2 linked regions of the Caenorhabditis elegans genome follow. The protein of the gene in region 2 purifies or fractionates together with the protein of the main gene of each other region. This does not show direct contact. Each region holds a gene or a part of one and is shown on either strand. Other genes may lie near its edges.

Evidence for each region. Proteins that work in one complex are often made in the same cells at the same time.
Region 1: the proteins of unc-101 (region 2) and kvs-4 purify together in Caenorhabditis elegans (affinity purification with western blotting, with the first as the bait; one study listed by BioGRID). This does not show direct contact.

What each region holds. Positions count from the first base shown.
Region 1 is NC_003281.10:11,010,504-11,016,206, reverse strand, and holds the start of kvs-4 (putative voltage-gated potassium channel subunit kvs-4), read right to left. Parts: upstream 3,644-5,703; 5' UTR 3,580-3,643; coding exon 3,575-3,579; intron 2,614-3,574; coding exon 2,522-2,613; intron 1,388-2,521; coding exon 1,292-1,387; exon of another isoform or gene 1,235-1,291; intron 1,157-1,234; coding exon 1,102-1,156; intron 1-1,101. UniProt on the Caenorhabditis elegans protein: Voltage-gated potassium channel that mediates transmembrane potassium transport in excitable membranes.
Region 2 is NC_003279.8:12,506,121-12,514,422, reverse strand, and holds unc-101 (AP-1 complex subunit mu-1-I), read right to left. Parts: upstream 6,125-8,302; 5' UTR 5,869-6,124; coding exon 5,827-5,868; intron 5,773-5,826; coding exon 5,616-5,772; intron 4,935-5,615; coding exon 4,736-4,934; intron 4,137-4,735; coding exon 3,865-4,136; intron 3,641-3,864; coding exon 3,511-3,640; intron 2,477-3,510; coding exon 2,107-2,476; intron 1,621-2,106; coding exon 1,522-1,620; 3' UTR 1,003-1,521; downstream 1-1,002. Other genes in the region: mter-4 (Mitochondrial transcription termination factor family protein), read right to left, coding at 1-61, 506-593, 770-904; asah-1 (Acid ceramidase subunit beta), read right to left, coding at 6,912-7,121, 7,333-7,526, 7,690-8,302. UniProt on the Caenorhabditis elegans protein: Component of the adaptor complexes which link clathrin to receptors in coated vesicles. Clathrin-associated protein complexes are believed to interact with the cytoplasmic tails of membrane proteins, leading to their selection and concentration.

The DNA of each region.
Region 1 (5,703 bases), on a different chromosome or scaffold from region 2:
ATATTAAGAAAAAAATCTTGAAACTTTCGTTTTGAAAAAACTTTGAAATTTAAACTACCAGTTCTATTAAAAAACTAAAAATCAAGACAATTATGCAAAAAACTTACTTAACAAGCCTCTTAGCAATCTCCTTCCACCTATCCTGTTGTTCCCGCACCTTTTCCCGCCGGGCAGCCTCGATAATTCGTTGTTTCCACATTTATTTATTTTTTCAAATTTTTTTTTTTGCGAGCCAAGGAAAAGTATTTCAGACACAAAATCAGAAGTCGATAATAAAGAGGCAGGAAAGAGTGCGAATTTTCCCACTTTCTCTGGCTTTAAGGCACAAGCACCGCTCCACCAAAATATAATTGAATAATATGGGCGGAGTCAGCGGCGGCGGGACAAGGTGAAATTGTAGGTAATGGAAAATTGAGTTTTTATTAAAAATAACAAGGTGGTTTTTAATTTTATCAAAAGGGAATTGAGTTAGCAGCCGACATAAAATGGGAAAGGTTAAAAAAAAAGTAACTATTAAAATTTAGAAATTATTTTTTTTTTAAACCCTCAATATCCATATCGGTTAGTGATACCAAAAAGTTGTCAACTAACAAATTGTAGGAAATTTTAGGGACTATATTTCGCCAGTTAACAATTTTTTGATAGCATTTAAAGTTTTTGAGATTAAAAGGTTTGGTTTTGTTTTAATTTCTAATAGGTTATTTTTGAAAAAAACATTTCCCGTTTTATGTCGGCTGCTAACACAATTTCTTGGTTTCAGTAAAAACTTAATTTTCCATCTAGGAATTATTTTCAAGAGAAATTGTGTTAGCAACCGACATAAAATGGGAAACAGTCTAAAAAAACTAACCACAAATTAAGAAATACTAAAACCCCCTTTTCTCAAAAACGGTAAGTGCTATTAAAAATTTGTTAATTAATAATTTGTAGGAAATTTTAAGGGCTATATTTTGTTAGTTGACAACTTTTTGATAGCTTTAATAGTTTTTGAGATATCGCAGTTTTTAGTTAAACCTTTATATCTCAAAAACTATATAAGCTAGTAAAAAATTTATTAGTTTAGAACTTTTTGCTAGCACCCCTACTATACTCCCAACTAACCTATCCAGTGAGCTTTGCGAGACCATATCAATGTAGTCGAAACTTCCATTGTCCTCTGAAATATACATTTTTCAAGAAATAGTTTCTTGTTAGTATCATAAGTTGAGGAAATCTGACAGGTGATAAATGACACTTTTATCAGCTGCCTTAGAAAATAAAAAAAATCAAGGGGAGAAAAAAAATTTCTTACGACTTTTAATCGCGGAATTTCTGTTAAAGGCCTGGTGTCGCTGATAGATAATTTGTCCAATTGTCCAAATTCGATCGGCCGATGGATCCAGAACAGCTGAAAAGTTCAAACCTTAGAGAAGGCATGCCTACCTTCGCGCCTACAAGGCAGGCACATCCATGCCTACAATTTTGTTGCCTGCCTGCCATGTAGGTGCGTAGGTAGGCATTTTTTCTTAAAATCGTGGTGCTCTCTTTCATGAGCAAAAATGAAAAAGATATGCCTATTTAGATATTTATGAGAGAGCTTATGAGCAATGGAGGTCACCCAAAGAACACTTTTTATGACGTGGCAACTTTATGACGTGGAATGATCCAGGGGTGAGCGGCAAAAAATTTTTCCGGCAAATCAGCATATTGCCGGAATCGAAAGATCCGGCAACTCGGCCAGTCGTCAAATTGCCGATTCACCGAATTTGCCAGAAAAACGACAAGTGCTTTTGCACATTATTTTTGGAGATTTCAGAAATTCAATGAAAACGGGAAAAATATTTCAAAAAGGCATAGTTTTAAGTGTTTCCGTCCTGTTAAAAAATCCCTCCAAAAGTTTCCGGCAAATCGGCATCTTGCCTTAAATGAAAAATTCCGGCAAATTGGCAAACCGACCATTTGCCGATTTGCCGAATTTGTCGACAAAATTTTTTTTTTGCCGCCAACCCCTGCTGGAGTGATCGATAATTAATTTTTTAAAAAAATTCATGTTCTTTTTTTAAATTTAAATTGCTTAGATTTTTAGATTTTCAAAAAAATGAAAAATAGAAAATTTTAGTTTTTCGTATTCCCGATTTTTTGGAAAAATCTCATAGTTACAAAGTTATATTAGAATTAAACCTAACATATTTTTAATAAACCTAGTTTTCCCGTTTTTTTTTTCGTACAGTATACTGTACGAAACATACTTATTGTAAAAATTAATTTTTGGATTCTTCTGAAAACTCTAAAAACTTTTTTAGAAAATTGAAAATTCATCCATAAAAACTTTGTTCCTGAAAATAACAATGAATTTTTCAAAACTTTTATTTTTAAAAGTTTCACGTGGCACAGCATTTCTTGCAAGAAGACCCCCTTAACAATGCAAACGTAGCAAAGAAAGAACTAAAAATGATGGGATGCGCCAAAAATAGTAACTTCCGGGTTTATGGGAGGTCAAACTAGTTACAAATAGTTGTTTCCCAAATTTTCAACAACTTACGTTTCATCCTGGCAAACGCCGACAGGCCACCACCACCCGATGATCCGTTGGCCTTCCACTTTTTCTTAACCCCGAAATGGGAGGCTTGGTGGCTGAAAAGTAACATATCTTATTATTAAACTGTAGAAAATTTTAAGGGCTATATTTTGTCACTTGACAAGTTTCTGACAGCTTCAATGGTTTTTAAGATATAAAGCTTTTAAAGTTGTTTATCTAAAAATGATATATCTCAAAAACTACAAGCATTAGCAAAAAGTTACCAATTAATAAAATATAGCCCTTAAAATTTTCTACAAGTTGTTATTTAAAAACGTTTTGATAACGCAACTGCCTGAAAAGATAAAAGCACTTAAACAATCATCTGCGAGTGTGTAGAGGGTGAGGGGAAATGCAGACGGTTGTAGTGTCTGCGTCTCCCCTCTCTTTCGCTCTCTCGAAAAAGCTAATATTTTCTATCATTTCCTTTCTATTAGGAGTAATGCAAGTGAAAATTATAGTAGAGAAAGATTAAAAAATTTTACGTAATTTACTTGGTCGGTTTACAATTTTCAGTTTTTTTAAATTTAATTTTTTACAATTTTTTTCAAACGTTTGTAACTTTTTTATAATTTTTTCTATCTAAAAGTTGTCAACTAACAAAATGTGGCAAATTTTCTGCAAAATATTTTGTCATATAGAATTAATTGAAAATCTCAATTTTCAGCAACGAAACAATGATTTTAAAATTAGAGCATGTGAATACCATTTTGCCTACATAACTTAAACGTTTGAACCTTCATATCTTCATAGCCTTACGAGTTACATAAAAATTGTAAACTAACAAAATGTAGCAACTATTTAGCTAAACAATTGTGCAGTTAGCAATTTCTCGGAAAAAGTGAAACACAAATAGAAAAAAAAATATTTTTAAACCAAAAACTCTTTTTCAAAATTGTTTAAAAATCCAAAAATGCCAGAAATATTCTTCACACATTTTTCCATGGAAACCTATAACCTAGACGTCACAGATGTCATTATTTCATATAGGCTTGTCTCTTTTTCGGCTCGTCTCACCTCATAATTGTCCGGTTTTGGGGAATCGGCGCGATTTTGAGCGTCTGGAAGTGAGTGACACGTGGCACTGAATATTGATTATTGATAAATGGATTTTGGTATTGTTGGTGAAAACGGGAATTTGATTATATGGTGTTAGGGAAAAAAATGTTGAAAATTGGCGAATAAATTTGATTAAAAAGTACTAGGTGACGGGGGGAGTTAAGTACTTTTAGGAGAAAACTAAAAAATCGAGGATCTTTCAGGGTTCGAGCTATTCAATTTTTAAAATATCTGATAAAACGATGTTAGGAAAATTCAAAATCAAAAGAAAATTGAAAAAAATTCGAAAAATTTTTTTGAAATTTTTTCCCGAAAATTTTCAAACTCATATACATCGCCAGTTAAGCAACTGATCAAAAAATTGGCAACTAACAAAATGTGGCAAATTTTGTGCTGAATATATTATCAGTTGACAAATTTTTAAAATCTTGAAGGATTCCCGAGTTATAAATGTTTTTGTGCTGGAATGCAGATGGAAATTTCATATTTCTAAGAAAATTTCAAAATAGGAATGAAACTTTCGCGGAAAAGTACGGTACCGGGTCCCGACACGACAATTTTTTTGTTAAATGCAAAAAGGTGTGCTCCTTTAAAGAGTACTGTAATTTCAAAATTTCGGTGGTACGGATGTTCGTAGTTTTTCGATGAAAATTTATTTTTTTGAGAAAAAATTAAATAGAAACACTAAAAACATATACTTTCATTTTAAAAATTTTCGTGTCGAGACCGTGTAACGCAGTTTTGGCGCGAAAATTTCCAAAATCTCTTTTTTTCAGTATTTTCGCTGCGAGACCCGGGGAGTTCTCGACAGGGCGCGGTTGCTGAGTAACCTTGAATTTTCGGTCAAAAATATTGATTAACACTTATTTTTTTAAATTAATGCCGGATTTTTCACGAAAAAATACCTTTTTAAAACTATTATTACACATTCGCAAAATATGATGGGCAAACTTAAAGGCGCGTGGTGGGTCTTGGTACGATTTCAGTCTTTTTTACGAGTTTTCCTAGGGGGTTTTTTTAGAAGGACTCGATTTTTACACAAAACAGCTGAGCAATTTAATAAACATTCAAAATCACGCTGCAAACGTGCTCCATTGAGATTTGTTGGTCTTGCAGCGAAACTTAGCAGTTTTCACGAAAAACTGCCAATTTTACAGTAATCTGCAAGAAAAATCGTCGACGAAAACAAAGTGATTCTCGGTGAGCAGCTCCTCGATGAATTTTTTTTTGGGGAGCTCAGTGAGCCCATCTCATCATGCATTTTGGAGCATTTTTTGAAGGAGGAGCTACGTTCCGAAACATACAAAATTCATGAAAGTTCTTCCACCCAACAACGGGGAGGAATCTGGTGAAACATCAACATTTTCTTTTTTGTTTTTTTTTTGTTAGAAAATGACGTCTTAGGGAGTATCCCTTGACTGCATGGTGGCCGAGGATTTTTTTTTGAAAAAATTAGCGATTTTTGCGCTAAGGTCTCGACACGGCAAATTTTCGTTAAATGCAAAAAGGTGTGCGCCTTTAAGGAGTACTGTAGCTTCAAACTTTAGTTGTCGCATAATTTTGAGAGATTTTTCACAGTTTTTTGATGAAAACGTATGTTTTTTTTAGCAAAAAGCTAAACAAATCGTGAGAAAAAATTTGGAAAATCGATTTAAATTCGGCAGAAACGAAATTTTGAAACTACAGTACTCTTTAAAGGCGCACACCTTTTTGCATTTAACAAAAATTTGTTGTGTCCAGACCGAAAACTTTATATTTTCACAAAAATCGCCGAATTTCTTGGTTTATAAGCAATTCAAAAGAAAAAAGTCAACATTTCGCTGCGAGACCGGTAAATTCTCAATAGGGCGCGGTTACTGGGCTAATTTGAATTTTCGCACAATTTCAGTTACTCTTTTTTGAAAATTGAAATTATAAAAAAAATTTCCGCCGGAAAAATGGAAAAACTAAAAATTCTAGAACCTGAAAAGTTGAAAAAAAAAAACCGAGAAACATTTTTTTTTTTTTGAAAAATTGTTCAACAAAAAAGGAAGGAATGAGTGGGGGAACAATTATGACTTTTTTTTCCTCGAAACAATGGCCCCCAA
Region 2 (8,302 bases):
ATTGTACGGAACAGTGTGGCGTTTTTTGTGTTCGCATCCAGCAGAAATTCGCATTTTACACCTGAAAATTGTGGGATTTTTGAGGAAAAATCGATAAATGTCTGAAAAATCACTGAAAATTTGATTTATTATGGTGAAAGATGGCTTTAAATTAAAGAAAACTACGTTAAAACGCTCAAAAATATAGTTTAACTCAAGAATTTGAAATCCCCGCCAACCACATTGCGCAAGTGCGCTCCATGGATAAAACAGCCCAAAATCAGGATTTTTGCGAATTTTCAGACTCAAAATGCTTGAAAATCGTCTGTAAAAACATAAAATTCGCCTAAATTCCGTGTTTTATTTCAAAAATTTGAATTTCCCGCCGACCACATGTTGCAAGTGCGCTCCACGGATAAAATGCTTCAAAATCTAGTTTTTTTTGTTTTTTCAGAGTCAAAATGCTCAAAACCCTCGATTTTTCGTTTTTTCAAATTTTTCACTAAAAAAAATTAGCAAAACCTACCATTTTCCAAAAGTTTTTCGAAAACTTTTGCCGATTCCTGTCTGGCAAAGGAATCTCGACCGGGAATCACAAAATGTGTGCCAGTTTTCTGGAAAAAATTGAATTAGAGTTGGAAATTTGAATTTCCCGCTAATGCAAATGCGCTCCAATGCAAAAAAAAGTCCAAAATTAGGGCAAAAATTCAAATTTCGCGCCATAAAAGCGTGATGCAAGTGTGCCCCAATGCTAAATCTTCAAAATTTTCAAATTCCCGCTTTGCCGAACCTTCAAATCGTCCACAATTCGATCCATCAACGCATTTGGCGCAAAAGTCCGCAAAGTGTCGTCAGATGTGGTGCATTGACGCGAAAATGCAGAAATTCGCAAATTTCGACGAAAAATCGGCAACAATCGGCGCATTTTCTGGCAATTTTTTGCATTTTTTTCAGTGATTTTTCTGGAAATTTAGACAATTTTTGAAATGGAATTTTTAGCCCCCGGAAAACATTTTGTAAACAATTATGACAGAAAATTTATTGATTTACTGAAAAAAGGAAAACGGGAAAAATTGATGAGGATCCATGTGGTGAGAAAATTATGCTGGTGGGAAAGGGAAAAAACTCGTTTTTCTGGAAAAAATCTAAATTATGCGATAAAAATCAATAAATAAATCGGTGGGAAAAATAAAATAAAAATTTTCGAACAAAAAAAAATAGAGTTCGGGGTCATCAGGGGAAAGAGCACACACAACACATGTTTTGAGCCGGGGAGCAGCTCGCGGAGCATTAAATTTTCACAGAAAAAATTGGAGATGTTTGACATTAAAAGAGGCAAAAATTGATGGAAAACGGGGCCGTGGCCTAGGATTTTCGAAAAGTTAGGCCACCACTGGAAGCATGGTGGCCTAGACCTCCAAATTTTCCAAAAACTCGGCCACGGTCGTTTTTCACCAATTTTTCATAAAAAATTCCAAAAATTAAGAGTAAAATTGGGAATAAAATACAATAAAATATGAATTTAGGTAATTTTTTCAGGAATTATTTCATCCGCATCTCGTATTCTCCATTTTGAGTAATGTAGCGGACCCACGGCAATGCTTGATATCCACTTTTCTCGATGATTTTCAGATAACGGACCTGAAAATTTGAAAATTAGGGTTTACTTGGTGGAATTTATGGGAAAAATTGAATTTTCAAGCCTTTTTTTTAGAAGATTTTATCACCCTTAAACACCAAAAAATCACATAATTCTCAATTTTGAGCCGTTTTCTCCGTGGAGCGCACTTGCAATATGTGGTAGGCGGGAAATTTGAATTTTTGAGTTAAAAAGTCAAATGTTAGGTTTTTTCGAGAAATTTGCATCATCTTGACGCAAAAAAATCACAAAAATCTGCATTTTGAGCAGTTTTATCCGTGGAGCGCGCTTGCAACATGCGGTCGGCGGGAAATTCAAATAATCTAGTTGAAAAGTCGGATTTTTAAATAATATCATGTGTTTAAATGAAATTTTCAGCATTTTAGAGCGAAAAAATTACATAAATCTCAAAATTGGGCAGTTTTTGGCGGTGGGAAATTTGAATTTTTGAGCTAAAAAGTCGAATTTTAAGCGAAAAATTCGGCTACCTGAATGCCGCTGGTCGTAAAATACGGAATTTCAAATTTGACTTTAATCGGCGGCCGTCCTTCAGACTCTTCACTCATCACAGACGGTAGAGATAGATGGGCGGTCAAAAGGTACTCTTTTCCGCCGGGAAAATTCTTAATAGTCCATACGAAGGCCGATTGCTCGGGCGTATACTTCACCGAACCGATGCTTGTCTTGAATTTCGGTGAATCAGCGTCCGACGGGACTGGAATAATGATTTCCACGTTATTAGCAGTGGAGCGCCGTTTGAATTGTGATTTCGCTTTGATTATAAACGAGACACGGCTGTGACTGTGACGTTCGATGCTTGTCTCGATCCAGATCAGCGGCTTCACCACGGTTGTTAATCTGAAAAAAAACGGTATTTTTCGAGAATTTTCAGGAAAAATTGGAGCTTTTTGAGGTAAAAATCGAGTTTTTCGACACAAAATTGAGGCATGGCCTGACTTTTTACCTGAAAACCTAGGCCACGCATGTAAATTTGCTTTTTTTTTATTTTTCAGTGTTTTCAAGCTAAATTTGGCCTAGTGATCAACTTTTTAGACTCAAAATTAAGGTGTGGCCTAATTTTCTACCCGAAAACCTAGGCCGCAGGTGTATTTGACTTATTTTTTAAGAAAAACCAACAATTTTGATCCAGACACACAGTTTTCAGCAAAAAATAGAGTTCGGCAACGAACTGATCAGTGGTGGCCTAACTTTTGCGAGAAACTAGGCCACGAGTGGAAATTTGCATGTTACGTGTTCCATTTGTTACAGTTTTAACGTGTTTTTACAGAAAAATCGAGCTATTGTAGTAAAGAAGCCGAGTTTTTAGCCAAAAAATAGAGTTCGGCCATGAATTGGCCAGTGGTGGCCTAACTTTCTTGTAAAATCTAGGCCACGTATGCAAATTTGTATTTTTCTAGAATTTTTCATGTTACTGAGCTCTTCTTCGTCTGAATAACGAGTTTTTTGACCTAAAAGAACCCAAAAACAGGAATCGGCCTTTGGTGGCCTAGTTTTTTCCGGAAAACCCTAGGCCACGTAAGCAAATTTGTATTTTCTACACCTTATAATTGTTTTTCGAGCGTTTTTGGCATAAAAAAGCAGAAATTAACTCGAAATTACAACTCGGCCACGAACTAGGCTATGGTGGCCTAACTTCCAAAAAACCTAGGCCACGTGGGTAAATTGGCATTTCCTAGGATTTTCTGGCATTTTCAGCTTTCAAATCGAGTATTTAAGCCAAAAAATAGACAAAATCAAACTTCGGCCACAGATTAGAAGTCGGTGGCCTAACTTTTCGAAAAAACTAGGCCACATCACTGAATTTCCGTCAAAATCATGCGAAAAACTCGATTTTTCGGTTAAAAATCCGATTTTCTCCACTTTTTTCGTACCGATAGCTCATAAGCTCAAATGCTCCGTCGGGCGGTATGAAGGAGATCGTTCGATCCGTGTCAAAACGCGACAGGCGTACACATTGATGAAATTTCACGTCTTCCAGTTCCACAGATTTGCTTTTTCCGCCTGAAAATCGAGAATTATCAATGGGGCGCGATTGTAGCGGTAGGAAGTTTGAATTTCAAGTTGCAAACGCGCTCCATTGCAAAAATTTAAAAAAAGTCGCATTGGAGCGCAATTGAAAAACGCTAAAAACTTTAAAATTGTTGAATTTTAACAAAATTTTATCGATTTTAGGGTAAAATTGCCTGAAAAATCTCAATTTTCGCATAAAATTCGAAAAAACTCACGTCCACTGCCCTCAAAAAGTACTTTATCGTTAAGACCCAGCCGAAGTTCAGGCATTCCGGTAAGATAGACACGCATTTTAACGCTTCCAACAATTTCCGATTGAAGTACGGTACCGTTGGCGCTGGCCAACATGTTCACACTTTCGATTACGTCCAGGAAAACCTCGTTTTTTCGGTATTTTATGCCTTCAGAGCGCCATGAGACGGCATTTGTCACTGCCATCGGGGGACGGGGTGCCGAAATTAGTTTTTGACCTTCTTGTGTGATGTATCTGCAAAAAATTGGGGGGTTTTTTGATTGAAAATTGAGGAAAAATCGATGATAATTTTGCACAAAAATTCAAATTTTCGAGTCGAAAAACACATTTTGAACAGGAAAATTGCGCTCCAATGTGAACTTTTGCGATTTTTGCATTGAAGCGCGTTTGCTGCATGTTGAATGCGAGAAAATTGAAATTTTCAATGAAAATTCAAATTTCCCAGCTGCAACCGCGCTACAGTGCAAATAATCGCAGTGGAGCGCGTTTGCAAATAGAAATTCAAATTTTCGAGACAAAAGACACATTTTGAACAGGAAAATTTGAATTTTTGAATTCCCCGCCACTGCAAATGCGCTCCAATGTAAATTTTTTGCGATTTTTGCATTAGAGCGCATTTGTGATTGGAAATTCAAAATTTTAGGGTCGAAAATACATATTTTGACCCAAAATTTAAAATTACTGCTATCGCGCGCTGCAAATGCGCTCCAACGCTAATATTTGGCTATTTTCGCATTGGAGCGCATTTGCAGCAGAAAATGAAACGATTTTTCGTGCGGGAAATTCGAATTTTTGAGTAATTTTTTTCAATTTTTCTCGTTTTTCCTCCTTACTCTTGTAGAATTCGACTCTCAGTCGTCTGTGGGAACCCGAAATCCATCATTTCGTCCAAAAGTTCATAGATAACGACAAAATTGTCGCGAACCGACTCCTCTTCGACATCTTTGAAATATTCGGAGAAAACTTCGACGCATTTGTACAAAAATGACAAAATCATTGTGACGTTGACGTTTGAACGGCATGCTGAGACCACTGAAATGAGGGAAATTTGAATTTTTGACTGGAAATTCTGGAGAAAATGACTGAAAATCCGTTAAAAATGGGTGTTTTATCATTGGAGCGCGCTTGCACCCGCTGTCGGCGGGAAAATTTCCGGAAATTTACAATTCTGGCTCAAAAATCGTGAAAATATGTCGAAAAAGTGTGAAAAATGACGAATTTTTCGCAATTTATCGACTTTCTGGCAGAAAAGCTTGATTTTTGAAACAATTTTGCTCCTTTTTTAAGATTTTTACCACATTTCAAATAAACTACAAAATGGAAAAATTACGAAAATCGCAGTTTTATTGATTTTAGTCAATTTTTACGAATATTCGGCTTTTTTTGAATTTTAGCACTCGGGAATTCAGAAAATCAAGGAATTTTTGAATTTTTCTGACTTTAAAATCAAAAAATTGAATTTTTTTGGGTTTTCCGTTATTTTCAAGGGATTTTGTTACTTTTCACTGTTTTTCAACTCATTTTTTAGTTTTAAAACGTTATTTTCAATTTGAAAATGTTAAAAACCACAAAAAATTGCACTTTTTATCGGTTTTTGGCTTGAAAATTCAAATTTCTGACCAATTGCGTCATTTTCAACGGATTTTCTTCAATTTTGCCATTTTTCTATCTAATTTTTGATTTTAAATTCAATTTTTCACACAAAAAACCCACAATAAATATTTGTGTGCTTGATAAACACGAAATTCGTGTCCTGATAGGTCAAAACGGGCGCTGCCGAGCCTTCTTCCTCTTTTTCCATGAGTAAATGAATGAATTTATCGATTGCCGTCATGTCGATGTCTCCGCGATAATTTCGAGAAATTATCGTCTGAAAAATGCGAAAATTGGCATTTTCCGACGTGAAAAACACTAAAAAACTCACTTTTCCCTTCAAATCCAGTATAAACATGGCGGAAGTCGCCATTTTCGACGATTTTTTGCGATTTTCTCGTTAAAATCGTCAAATTCCACGTGGCAGCTACTGGAAAATACTGAAAATCCGGAGAAAATTAGCGGAAAACGGAGGAAAATCGAAGAAAATGAGTGCAAAGATGGATATCGGCTGCTGGCGGGCACGCCCTCTTGCAGTCTGCAGTCTCTTCACTTTATATACTCTCTCGGCGAGTGACGGAGCGGCAGCAGCGGTGCAGGAGGCCTTGGAGACGGATTAATTGGATGGAAAAGGTGGAGAATTTGGTTTATAGCGGTTTTTTCGCGAAAAAATGGAGAAAAATACCGAATTTTGCAAAAAATCGACTTTTTCGTCGGAAAAGTGCAAAAAATTAAGTGAAAATCGACGAAAATCGGTTAAAATTCTATTTTAAAAATTCAAAACTGAAACCAAGGGAGCAAAATTTAGGTGTGCGCCTTTAAAACTACCGTACCTTATTTTATTGGACAATAATGACAAAAACTGGCAATTTCCGCCAGAAAATTGAATTGAATAATTTGAAAATTGAATTGAAATAAAAAAAATTTGTGTAAAAATACTGGAAAATCAGTTTAAATTCATTTTTCTAGTAGAAAATTCCACAAAACCACCAATCGCTACGAGACTCAGAAGAAATATTTAGGCATGCGCCTTTAAATCTACCGTATCCCATTTTTAATAAAATTGTGACGAAATTTGAATTTCAGGAGGAAAACTTGGTTAGAAACGAAAAAACGACGAAAAACCATAAAATTAGCAAACAATTATTTTTTAAATGTAAAATTCCACAAAAAGCAATAACTTTGGTAACCTCGATAAGTTTCGGTGCATGCGCCTTTAAATCTACCGTAACTCATTATTTTTTTCCAGCGGGAAAATTAAAATTTTTAATTTTTGTTTAAAAAAAACCAAAAAACTCTAAAATTTTTAAATTTTATGAAAATTTCGTTTTCAAACAAGAACCCATCAAAGTTTATTTACAAAAATGAAAGTTTATTTCAATGAATCATTGCGTATATGAGAATGTTGAATCCAATCTACCATGGATAGCATTCTCCCGGGCAGGATTGAAGGATGGTCTCGAAGCGAGAAGTCTCGACGGACATGAGGACGGTGTAGGTGGTGAGCTTATTCAGGTTGGTGCGGGATGACAAGACGTTGAAGATTCCCTCGAATCCGACGTTCTTCTGGGTCAACTTGTCCATGCAACGGAATCCCGGAGTGTCACGGTCGTCAAGGTAGAGGTCCTGGAAGAGGGAAATGTTGGATAAGTTAATTCCGGATAGGTTTTGACAGATTTTTGATCAAAATTTCTAGCTAGGAGTTCGACCCACTCAAAAAAAGAAGCTGGGTTCAAAATACTAGACCTAGGCCTAGAGAAGGACCTCTCCTAAAAGTTGGGCCCCTAGATCCGTCTACCAGAACCTACTCTACACCTTCAACTCTAGCATCTCTCACCTCGGTTCCCTGATCGTAGTTGGTCTCCAACAGGTACCATCCGTGTGGGGATGTGGCCATCTCGGTGAGAAGTGCGGTCTTGTCGAGACTTCTAGCGATGATGCATCCCTCGTCCTTCTTGGATCCTCCGAGAATGAAGTAGACTGGTGAGAGCATTGGAGTGTTCATCAAGTGCTCCTTGGCGTCGAGGTAGGCTGAAAGCTCGGGATATAGAGCCTTTATGGATCTCAGACGGATCTAGCCCAATGGATATTAGAAGCAAAGATTAGGGACACTTGAATCTAAGCCTAAGCTTCCTGGAAATCAAAGCTTCCGAATTCTAAGGATCTAAGTCATCAAGAAAACAATTCAACTCACTGGTCTTAGTCTCGAGGGTCTCTCTTGCCAACCAGGACATCCATTTTCCGTCGGCCTCCAATCCGAACACCCACTTGAGAATACCGTAGTATCCTCCGACAAGCTGGAATCGATCGTCAGCAGTCAAGGAGAAGGCGTTTGGCTTGAGACCGTTGTAGATTCCAATGTATCCGGCAAAGTTGTTCGACTTGTACAACAGCTTTCCGTCCTTGAGCCAGTTGACGTTGATGATCATCTTACGAAGCTTTTGCGAGATTTGCCAGTCGTGAAGAACTGGGTCCCATCCCATGAAGAGTCCGAAATCGAGGTTTCTGGCGTGGAAAACGTGGCCGTCCTTGTCCTGAGCGATGACCGATGTGCAAACGGTGAAGATCTCGTAGAAGATGTTATACATGGTGATCTGTCCCAATGGGATACCGGTGGCATTGGCAATACTGAAGATCTCGTCACGATATGGCTGAGCGAGCTTTGGCGCCAAATCACCGAACACGTCATCAACAAAGTCGATGGCATTTGGGAACCATGGAGTGATCAGATTGATCAGCACACCGATCAGGTCGGCGATGTGTTCCTTGTTGGCTGTAGCGATCTGCACCCAACGCTCCGATGGTGG